3 linked regions of the Cricetulus griseus genome follow. The protein of the gene in region 1 interacts with the protein of each later gene in a biochemical or structural test. Links are inferred from orthologs where the notes say so. Each region holds a gene or a part of one and is shown on either strand. Other genes may lie near its edges.

Evidence for each region.
Region 2: of the proteins of Egfr (region 1) and glutathione S-transferase P 2, one has a biochemical effect on the other in vitro, tested with the Homo sapiens proteins (2 studies listed by BioGRID). The link is inferred for Cricetulus griseus from reciprocal best matches to the Homo sapiens genes EGFR and GSTP1.
Region 3: the proteins of Egfr (region 1) and Sh2d1a form a complex in vitro, tested with the Homo sapiens proteins (2 studies listed by BioGRID and IntAct, with this or other methods). The link is inferred for Cricetulus griseus from reciprocal best matches to the Homo sapiens genes EGFR and SH2D1A.

What each region holds. Positions count from the first base shown.
Region 1 is NW_023276807.1:89,400,457-89,404,107, forward strand, and holds part of Egfr (epidermal growth factor receptor), read right to left. Parts: intron 2,423-3,651; coding exon 2,354-2,422; intron 1,563-2,353; coding exon 1,444-1,562; intron 437-1,443; coding exon 295-436; intron 1-294. UniProt on the Homo sapiens protein: Receptor tyrosine kinase binding ligands of the EGF family and activating several signaling cascades to convert extracellular cues into appropriate cellular responses.
Region 2 is NC_048596.1:55,181,396-55,185,146, forward strand, and holds glutathione S-transferase P 2, read left to right. Parts: upstream 1-1,002; 5' UTR 1,003-1,055; coding exon 1,056-1,092; intron 1,093-1,204; coding exon 1,205-1,240; intron 1,241-1,376; exon of another isoform or gene 1,377-1,479; intron 1,480-1,617; coding exon 1,618-1,724; intron 1,725-1,834; coding exon 1,835-1,922; intron 1,923-2,810; coding exon 2,811-2,914; intron 2,915-3,019; coding exon 3,020-3,127; intron 3,128-3,259; coding exon 3,260-3,448; 3' UTR 3,449-3,510; downstream 3,511-3,751. UniProt on the Homo sapiens protein: Conjugation of reduced glutathione to a wide number of exogenous and endogenous hydrophobic electrophiles. Involved in the formation of glutathione conjugates of both prostaglandin A2 (PGA2) and prostaglandin J2 (PGJ2).
Region 3 is NC_048604.1:25,494,405-25,498,055, reverse strand, and holds part of Sh2d1a (SH2 domain-containing protein 1A), read left to right. Parts: intron 1-3,460; coding exon 3,461-3,602; intron 3,603-3,651.

The sequences.
Region 1 (3,651 bases):
AGTACAGGTTCCCATAGGGCAGCTAAGCCCCAGGGAAATGATCTCACTGCTAGGAGCCTTACAAACAGACCAAAGTATACAACAGTCACATACCCACAGAGGGTCTAGGTCAGTCCCATGCAGGCTCCCTAGCTGTTGGTCCAGAGTCCTTGTGTCCTCACCTTTGTATCTAGCTGGGCATGTGCTAACCTACCTGACAACAAGGCAAGCACAAGGGGCCCCAAACTACCCAAGACTCCAGCATAAGACAAAAGAGGACATGGATGACAGGAAAGTCAACAGTGGACAACTCACGTGGGCATTTCTTCACACAGGTGGCGCCAAAGCTGTACTTTCCCTCAGGGTTGACATCCATCTGATATGTGGTGGGGTTGTACAGCATCAGTGGTGGGCAGGTGTCTTTGCATGTGGCTTCATCCCGGAACTTATGACAGACCTGTCATAGGAGGGACAACATGCCTGCTCAAGATATTGCATCCAAATGAAAGAAGCACAGGGCCAGGCAGCCTGCAGGTCAGGCCAATGGCAGCTCTCAGTGCTCAGGAGTTCAGTGAGAGGGAAAAGAATCCAGTCAGCTTTTCAGGGTAGTCAGAAACATTGCCCTCTTGTAAGTAACAAGTACTATTTTTAAGTATACTGACTGCTGCAGTTGCTATAACGTAGGGTTTTTGATTAGAAAAAATACATCTCTATTGATTACAGGTGACAAAGAAAGGTAACCACGGCCAGGTAAATATGGTGTGACATCATTTTTAAACCCAGTTTATACTGGGTTTCTCTTATAAAGAGTGCTTTGGAAGACATTTTAGAATTTATCGTCAAAGGGCTGGCATCTTAACAGGAAGCTTCCATTCAGAAAGGGCGAGATCAAAGGTCTTAGCTCTTACTAAAAACTACATGGACGGTCATTCTCCTGTGCTGCTCTTAGGTCCAGCCCAGACTGTCCAAGTGTTAACATCCGGGGCTAGCTCTGGTTTGGGATTTAAGAATCTTCTGTTTGCAGAAACCATACGATATTCTAGACTCTAGCTTAGGATGGACTTCCTCTTCTGGAGCCCAACAGGGCCTTGCTCAGCTTTGTGCTAACCCCAGGAATCACATTCACTAGCCCGTGCATTCACAAGCTCTTTCACCAGAGCTTCGGTAGTGTCAGGGGAAAAAAGACACCATGGGATGGCATAGGGTAGGGGAGCAGCCAAGAGGCATTGAAAGATGGTGGGCAAAGTGGAATGGAGGGGACAATTCCAATGTCATACTGTGCAAGGTCTGTGTAACTGGACACATCTCAAGGGGTCTTACAGAAGCAGCTCTAGACATTTGTCATAATGCTGTTGCTGCTGTTGGCCAAGACAATACTTATTTACACTGTGCCCCACAGGAAGGCCCCATCACAGTCAGTGTGTAAAGCTCTGAGGCCTGCCTCCCCAGTGCCTACAGTCTTACCAGACAGTCACTCTCTCGGGGTCCTGTACAACCAGCGGCACACTGGTTGTGGCAGCAGTCACTGGGGGACCTGCCACGGCAACGCCGGGAACATTGCTGGGCACAGATGATTTTGGTCACTGAAAAAGAAAGATCACCAATGAGCTGCATCTAGGTGGCAGCTTATCTTCCAGGGGCCTGGAGGAACACTTGCATGCAGTAGAAAGAAACAGATGGGAAGATGGATGGATTTCCTGACTGTGGAACAGGCTTTTAGGCATTCACATTCAGCCAAACTGAGTATCATCACAACCTTCCCCTCAGTATATCTCTTATCATTTATTTCAAATCACTTAGGAGACGTGATTAAAGCAAGTCTGTCTGATCAGATCTTTTGAATGAGTAGATAGTAGCTAGAGAATTCTTGGTGGTACAGAAAGCACACAAGCCAGAAGAGCACCTGACTGGACATGGTGTTTAAAAGAATGGATAGTTATGTCACAAAGGCAATGAACTGTGGTCAGTTTTGAGGCTGATACATTCCTGGGTTCTTTAATTAACTCCAGCAACCATGCTGGAGTTAATTAAACTTTTTAAAAAGTAGGATTCACACATATGCTCCCTGGAGAAACCCTTGGTACTAAGAAAGGGGGAGTAGGAGCAGAAACAGGGCATCCTACATAACTTAGGCACTTGGGTAGCTGGCTTTTAGGCATTTTATGATGGTCTGAAGTATCCCAAATAGTTAGCCTTTGATGGCTGTGTGCAGTTGGGTTGGCAAGACCAACACTCATGAAATAGTTAACACTGGGTCCATTGCCAAGTTCCTGTACTCGTCCTGTTACCAAAGTGTAGGAGAGGTGGGCCACACACTGTGTGGACTCCACTCACAAGGGCATGTTTCTCAGGCCCCAGAGCTGTGCTGACTTACATTTCTGGCAGTTCTCTTCTCCTCCTCCCCAGCAACTTCCGTTCGGACAGCTCGGATCGCATTTTTGGCCTGAAATAAAAATCTATTAGTTAAATGCATACTTCAATAAAAGTGAACAAATGACATGAAACCAATGATGCCTCTCCCAAGGCCCTAGAGAATGTTCTAGAAACAAGGAACAGTTTGGAAACTTCGTATTCATAGTTGGCTTGGATGCTTTGTAGGGTAAACTAAAAGACTCTCGTGCAAGAAAGGAAAACTGTGAGCCATGGACTGCTTTTGTTTGCACTTTAGCTTTGGAAACTGAGAGAGAGAATACCTACTGACTTGTCACAGGCACACAAATGACAAATCTAAATGAGTCCAGGGTCCGAGAATTGCCACCTGCTTTGGTTTCTCTTGACAGATTGACTCTGCGTAAATTCATTCAACTTGCTATATCCAATCTTGACTGACTTGGGGGTAGAGTGGGGCAGGCAATCATCACTGAGTTTAGGGATGTTAAATCATGGCTGGTAAAAGCACCCTTCTCCTCCAAGTCATGGAGTAGCACAGAAAATGCCACAGGAAGTCAACATTCTTATTCTGTGAATCACTTGGCCAATTACCTAAAACTTCAGTTAATAGTTGGCACGCTACTGTCTGGAAATCTTTGTAATTAATAAGTTTTTGTGTTTTTGTATTTGGCCCATATCAAATTGCAGCTACAAAGATTTTTTTTAATATCTTGAGTTCTGTTCTGCAATTAATCACACTGAAAAATGTGGAGATCAAAGTGTTAGCGAACAAGTTTGTTGAAAAGTTCTACAGAACAGATTTGTCCTTCTTTCCTTTGCTTTTTGTGGTTCAGCATACTTAACATTTCCATTAGGCTTTTAAAGACCACTCTGTCTAGTTTTAAAACCTTCTTTGGGGCAATCAGATATCATATAATGTAACTTTGTTTCACATGGAAGCTTATTTGGTGGTGTTTAAATTTGGCTTTTCAACTTAACATTCATCCTTACTTTCCTTTCTAGTACTTAAATGTATATTAATATTTTATTACATATGCTTAATACATATTTGGAATTCATATTGAACCATGGAGTAACTGCTGAATTTATTTATTTTCTTTCATGTAAAGCTATTTTCTTATAGCCTCAAATTCTAAGCTTCATCAACAATAATATACACTGGTCACAGTGGGCCATTCTTCTGAATCTCAGACATCTCACCTATGTTACAGTGAAATTCACCTCATAATACTGTGTTTGTCATTGTTAAAGATGGAATGCAAACTTCTCAAAAGGCTTGTG
Region 2 (3,751 bases), on another chromosome or scaffold:
ACACACATATAGCATACACACCACGCATACACACACATACACACACATCACGTACACATATACACAAATGCTTACAACACAAATATACACACACCACACCTGCATATGCACACACACATATGCATGCACACAAAAAATTGTTTCAGCTTTAAGCAGACAGGGAGGGAGGGAGAGCAAAACCCCTTCCACCATTTGCTGTTCCAAGTTTGCCTCAGTTTTGCTTTTTTTTTTTTTTTTTTTTGCTTTATTACTATGGTATGAGTGTGTATACAAGCTACAGGGGCTGTAAGGATTAGAGGACAACTCTTGGGAGTCTGTTCTCTTGTTTTCACTGTGGATTCCAGGAGTTGAACTCAGGCCATCAGACTGGGTGGCATTTCACTGAGTTTTCTCACTGACTCTGATTTATTATCTTTCCAAAGATTTTATTTTATATTTACTTGTGTGTGTGTGTGTGTGTGTGTGTGTGTGTGTGTGTGTGTGTGTGTAGATTATGTGCATGTGTGTGCGGGTGACCTCAGAAGCCACAGGCGTTGGAGCTGTAGTTAGAGGTGGTTGAGTGCTGCGTGGCATGGGTGCTAGGATCTGAACCCTCTGTAAGAGCCGTATATGCTTAACCACTAAGCCAGCTCTCCAGCCCTCTAATTCGCTGAGAGCTGCGGGTCTCTACACACTGAGTGCTGGGATTAAAGGCGTGTGCCACCCTGCCTGGCAACCTTGCCTTCTTACAATGAACATTTATTGAGCATCTAAGTGCTGTTGGCTGGAGACCTTCGTGCCTGCAAGGTACTGTCCAGGCCCCTGAGGACACGAGGGACCGTGTGTTTTTGGCGTGTTAAGGCGCGAGGCTTAGCATGCGTGCCTCTTGCAAAGCCCCAGTATAGACAGTACTGCAGATGTACAGGTGGGTCTGGTGCTCTCTGCCCCACCTCCCCTAGCCTTTGCCTGGAGCCTAATGTGCTGAGCACGGTGACTTGGCATATTCCTGGGGCAGGGCTCGAGGTCTGAGGAGGCGGAGCTGCGCTGTAAATATAAGGCCCGAGTCACCTCCTCTCATGCTGCTGAAGTTGCACCGCACTGCATCGCCCAAAAGTAAGTAGGAGCTGGGCGGTGAGGACGGGGCCTGGGCAGAGTTGACACCCCACCCCCACCCCCGCCATGAGGTCTTTCTTCATCGTGCTTTCTGTGTGTTTATCTCTTCTAGTGCCGCCTTACACCATCGTCTACTTCCCCTCTCGAGGTGTGGCCTCAGCGCTTTCAAGATGAAGGGCACAAATTGTAGTCCTCAGGATCGCTCCTGTGGCTCCTGTGGAGCCGGAGGGGCGTGGCAAAGGCCGTGCTGGGGTGGGACCGAGACCTGGGGCGGGACTACAGTTGTGATTGGTGGGAACAGAACTGCCCTCTCGGGCACCTTAGGTGGAGGGACTTTGTTACTCTTCCTTTCCTGGGCCATTGTGGAGCTGTGTCCCGCTCTCCTAGGTATTGGTAGGGCGTGGCCTCTACTCCGTGTCTCCCCTCCCAACGTTTTAGTTTGGTCCTTTTGTAAGCTTTCCATTCTTCCAAACTCTCCCAGGTCTCTGTTCAGTTCCCCAATCTCTGTCCCGTACCCTAATACAGGGCGCTGCGAGGTTATGCGCATGCTGCTAGCCGACCAGGGCCAGAGCTGGAAGGAGGAGGTGGTGACCTTGGATGCCTGGGAGCAGGGTACACTCAAGGCTTCTTGTGTGAGTGACTACACTAAAGTGGGGATGGCACTGGGGCGCAGCCTTAGGGTCCTGTGACTAGGGTTGGGGGCAGCCCATTGAGCACCCCTTACAGAGCTGTCTTCTCCCAGCTGTTTGGGCAGCTCCCCAAGTTCCAGGATGGAGACATCACCCTGTACCAATCTAATGCCATCCTGCGGCACCTGGGCCGCTCCTTCGGTGAGTCCTGAAGTACAACCCTGAAAGACACCTGACAGATGTCCTGCAAAATGTCCTACAGCAACCAATCTCTCACCTGGATAGAGGGCAAGCAGGTTACCCTAGAGGCAGGCTGCAGGCTCAGGTTCCAAGAGGCTCCCAGGTGTGGTGCTGGTCTGTCTGTGCACAGTGGGGGCTGTGAATTTCCAGTAAACTTGCATTATTTGTTCTAAATGACATCTCATAAGGGGCCACCAGTTTCTATGTGTGACAATGGAACAGGACTAGAGACTTCCCAGTAGACCTCACTGCCCATTTCTTCCTAACCTGGCCATACCCCAGTCAGGGAAACCCATAGTCACAGTGACGAGGCCTCAGCCTGTTTGGATGATGTCAGGAAGGTGGCAGAGGCAACTATTCTCTGTGGGCCTGGTTGGGAAAGGGGTGCCCGGAGTTCCATAAAGACATAATAACCTGAGGATGGATGGGTAGTGGGAGCAGTTCAGGCCAACTCCTCTTTTACAGGACCTAGAGAGCAGACCACGGCCTTGGGCTGGGGCCTGTCATCTTCTCATCTGCCTTGTGCATCTCACAATGTATGTGGATAGCAGCCTTCACACCCCGGTCTGTCTAGGTCCCTAGACAGCTTGTTCCAAGGGAGGGACAAAACAGAGTTTTTGACTTCCTTTGGTGTGGCAGATCCAGTGACAGGTGTGGCCCAGAAAGCAGGCCCAGGCTTCAGTTGGCTGTGGCCCTGGGGGATGGTAGACTCTTCCCTTGTGAAGGTGGCATGGCTGAGGTAGGCAGGACAGGGAAGATCTTCAATGCAAAGTAGACCCAGGCTTTGGTGTGAGCGGGTATTTAGGGACTAGCACAGAACACGAGTATGCTGCCTGCTTCCTGACCCAGGGCTCTACGGCAAAGACCAGAAAGAGGCAGCGCTGGTGGACATGGTGAACGACGGGCTGGAAGACCTCATCAGGCACCTTGGCCAGCAGCTTCTCCGAAACTATGTATGTAGGGACTGCAGGCTTGTGCAAAGCAGGGTGGTCAGGAAACGGAACTCACTTTTGTCAGTCTGGCTGCACATTCTCACCTGGGGTCATTTCTGTCCACAGGAGGAGGGCAAGGTCCAGTATCTGAAGGAACTTCCAAGACACCTGAAGCCATTTGAAACTCTGCTGGCCCAGAACAAGGGTGGCCAGTCCTTCATTGTGGGTGACCAGGTGAGCACTGGGTCAGGCCCTTCCCACTCTACTCAGATCCTTTCTCAGATCTGAGGCCAAGTTCCCTGATGCAGAAATGGAGGCAGGAAGCATCCAGTGTTTGGCTCCATGGAGTTTCTCTCCTGCCCATAGATCTCCTTTGCGGACTACCGACTGCTAGACTTGCTTCTGAACCACGAGCGTCTGTTCCCTGGCTACTTGAATGACTTTCCCATGCTCTCAGCCTATGTGACACGCCTCAGAGCCCGACCCAAGCTCAAAGCCTTCCTGGATTCCCCTGAGCATGTGAACCGCCCCATTTCTGCTCGCCTAAAGATATGAGCCCACCTGCTTCGCCCAATCCCTCCCCCTCATGGATCAATAAAAACGAGGGCAGGAGCCGGGCTGGGCTGTGGTGGCATACGACAAACACCCCCTTAATCCCAACACTCAGGAGGCAGAGGCAGGCAGATCTCTGAATTCGGTGTTCTACAGAGGGAATTACAGGACATTCAGGGCTACACAGAGAAATTCTGTCTCGAAAAATTTAAAAAAAAGAAAGAAAGAAGGGGGGCTGGAGAGATGGCTTAGCGATTAAGATCACTGACTGTTCTTCCAGAGGTCCTGAGTTCAATTCCCAGCAAC
Region 3 (3,651 bases), on another chromosome or scaffold:
CTAATCAAAACTGTGTTTCTTAAAAAATCTGTCACTGCAAATAAATAAGCAATTTGATTTATTGTGAAGAAGAGTTGTATGTACCTGATATATGTAAATTTATGTATGGGTTGGTCACAAATAATCCTCTTCCCTCAAACAATACCCTTCAGCTGAGCAATACAAATATTTTTATGGAAAAAATCTTTGATATTTTTGCGATTTAAAAAATTAGTTCTTTGAGAATTTTGTATAATATGTTTTGATCTTATTTACCCTTGTCCTCCAAGATCTGTTCCTCTCTCCCAATCCAGGAAATTTTGTGTACTCTTTGTTTTGATAAATCTGTCTTCTCAATTTGTGCTGTCCAAATATTCTTGGATGTGTGGCCTTCCTCAGAAGCATGATTGATTTACCAGGGGCTATTCTTTTAAAGAAAGTTGGCTTTTCTTCTCCTGGTAGCTATCAATTGCCAGCAGCTCCTTGCCAGAAGTGGGAATTTGTACACACCTCCTCTCTTCATGCTTGGATTTGATCTGGCTTAGGTTGCACAGGTCTTGTGCGTGTTGACATAACCACTGTGAGTTCATATGTGAAGCTGTCCTGCTGTGTCTGGAATACATTGTTTCCTTGTAATTTTCCACTGCTTTATACTCTTTTCACTTCTCTTCCTCAATGATCCTTGAGCCTTGGGAGGAAGGGATGTGATATGGATTCTTAGACACATTTTATAATTCATTTTCTTCCATTTCGCATGTAACATCATAGCACATCATTACATATTTGTAAACATTTTCAGAGGAGGGTCTATTGAGCATAAATATTCCTTATCCTATTATCTGATTTGACCCTCCTTATATAATAATATTGTAATTATTTGCACCATGAGAGCAGAAGATTGTCTTGGGTTATCCCCAAATGGGAAATAGGTAAAAACATCTTTGTTTCATGAAATGCATATTGCATTTTTTCTGTCTACAAAATTTGCCTTCTTGTTAAGGTGAATATTAAAGTAGTGCACAATTCTCAGAGCTCAAATCACCTGGCTGGAAGAAAGTTCTCCAGAGTGTACTGAAGATCAGCTGTGATTCAAAACGTGTTTCCATGGATAATTAAGTGATGGCAGTATGGGAAATGCTCAAATTTGAACAAGAACTGAATTCACTGACAGGATAGTAGCCATGATGCTTTTTTGTGTGTGTGATAAATGTCTTTCCAAAATGTGGTAAGTGGCTTATGTACTACTTTCAGGAAAAGCATTTTAGTTTGACATACCATAAGAAAAGGTCATGTCAGGAACATTCTAGCCTCTGTCCTTAGGTAAGTTTAAGACATGTTTTAGAGATGTGATATTAAATTGAACTTTGAATCTATTGGATTATGAAAGAAAATATTCAGAAAATTTCATTTTAAGTAGAACATTACTGAGGACATTAACTTAGTTCCTGGAGGCTAAAGTTATGATGAATTGTTGATTATCATTTATTAAGTATAGATTGTCAGCAATTCATTGTCAAAAGTGTACTGTTCTCTCCCTCTCTGCCAATTTCTGTGCTTTTGGGCTTTTCTGGGTAGTTGGTCACCAGGAGATTCTTAGCTAGTAAGTGAATTACTTATTAGCCTAAGCAAAGCATCATAAATTAGGTCAGTCATTTGCTAAAGAAATGCTGCATCTCAAGTTCAAATTACTTCTCTATGTCCAGTGGTAATTGTCTTCTCTGTCAGCATTGATAATCAAGTGTTAACTATCAGTCTCCATAGAAATGATGCCTTTGTTGAAAATACATGTATAAGCCACAAGAAACAGCCTAAATGAAGTGTGGTTTCAAATGATTCCCCTCTGGGGAAATATGCAGTCTCTCTTCTGGCAGGTGACCTCAGCTTCACTCGAAACTACTTGGTCTAGTCTTAATCTGAAAGGAATGCAGAGACAATTCTGCTGCTTCTGATTTATGTGTGACCTCAACCTGCTTATTAATTTACTTCAATGCAAGATGATTAGGTTACATGTTTATATCTGTGAAATGAGAATAATTGGAAGAATCAATATCTTCCAATTCACGAGGAAATAGTGAACGCAAGAGATGGGAAAGTGTTTTGAAAAATCAAAAAATGCCCTAAGGAAGAAGTAAGGAGGTATTTTGTAGCCATTTGCACGCCTTTGTAATTTGCAGCCTCTGTCTTGAAGCCAAAGAGTTATTTGGGTCTCTGCGAGAATGGCCATGTTATTTTTAGATGAAGCCTCAGCAGAAAATTAGGTCTTCTGATCATAAGAATAGGGATGGGTAGGAGACCATTTTCTGTCCGTTGACACTGGATAGATGAACACTAAATTACAGCTAAAGAGAACATCTACCATGTGTTTATATTGGAAAACTCCCTACTCACTCCAAAGTAGGCAATGACCAAGAGTAACTTTGGATAGTCAGTTATCTCGAGTTTAAAGTCCAGTTGACAGAAGTCTGTGTGCCAGCCTCATATTTTCTCCTTAAATGCTAAAAACCAAGCAGTTCCCATCTCAAAAATCTTCCAGATGGAATAGCTGAAAAACAACTTTCTAAAAAAAAAAAAACTAGAAAGAAGCAAAACTAGTCATTGTTCAATTGCTCGTAGCAATACTATTTTATTTTCTGTAAAATGACAGTTTTGAGCGGGTGCCTAAAGCACAGCTCATAAGCTTTGTGGGGAATGTTGATTTCAGGCAGTGTCCTTGTGAGAGCACAGATGTCAAGGAAAGAATACATTCTTAACAGCCACCTGCAAATTTGATCTCTTTAAAAATGAACAAATACATAAATAAAGATAAACTTGTATAGTCTTTCATTTACATGTCATAGAGGAAACCTTGTCATGGTGCAGGGCTGACTATGCAAACAATTTGGGCAAAGAACACAAAATTAACATGAAGGATGATTCAGTATGTATTATGACGTAAAATAGTATATGCATCGGCCAGCCATGCAGTTGTGTGTATCGTAACAGTCACTTTTTAAATTTCCTGTGTAATATTTGATATTATAAAATGAGGATGGGGGACATGTTGTTGGTTGTTGTTTTGATTTCTCAGGCTTTTTTGTTAATGACCTGTAGGATCTATACATTTTTTTTATGTTTAACTTCATCCCCTCTGTTGCTGAATTCATTGTGGGTAATGGCCTGTACATCCTTAGAGGTTCAGGATGTATGACGGGTAGCAGTCAGGAAGGGCAGGGCTGTGAGAAAGAGCTTGTACAAACTAGTACTACCCTTGGGAGAACTGCAATGACAGCTCATTAGCTCCTCTTGCAAGGAAATTCAGCCAAGCAAAGTAAGCTCTTCTGGATGTTGTTTTCATTTCTTCCTTATGTTTTCAAATATTTGAGCAAGTTACACAAATGTTACCTCTCTGAGCATCCCTCTCACATGTTATAGGTCTTTTTCTTTCTTTTTTTTTTTAGCATCATGAGGCAAATGAATACTTTTTTCATCTTTTATTTTCCAGACAGCACCTGGGGTACACAAAAGATTTTTCCGGAAAATAAAGAATCTGATTTCAGCATTTCAGAAGCCAGATCAAGGCATTGTAATACCTCTGCAGTATCCAGTGGAGAAGTCCTCAGCTAGGAGTACGCAAGGTACCACAGGTGTGGACACCTGCTTAGTTTTCAAACACTTGGGAAGCTTAGATTTAGG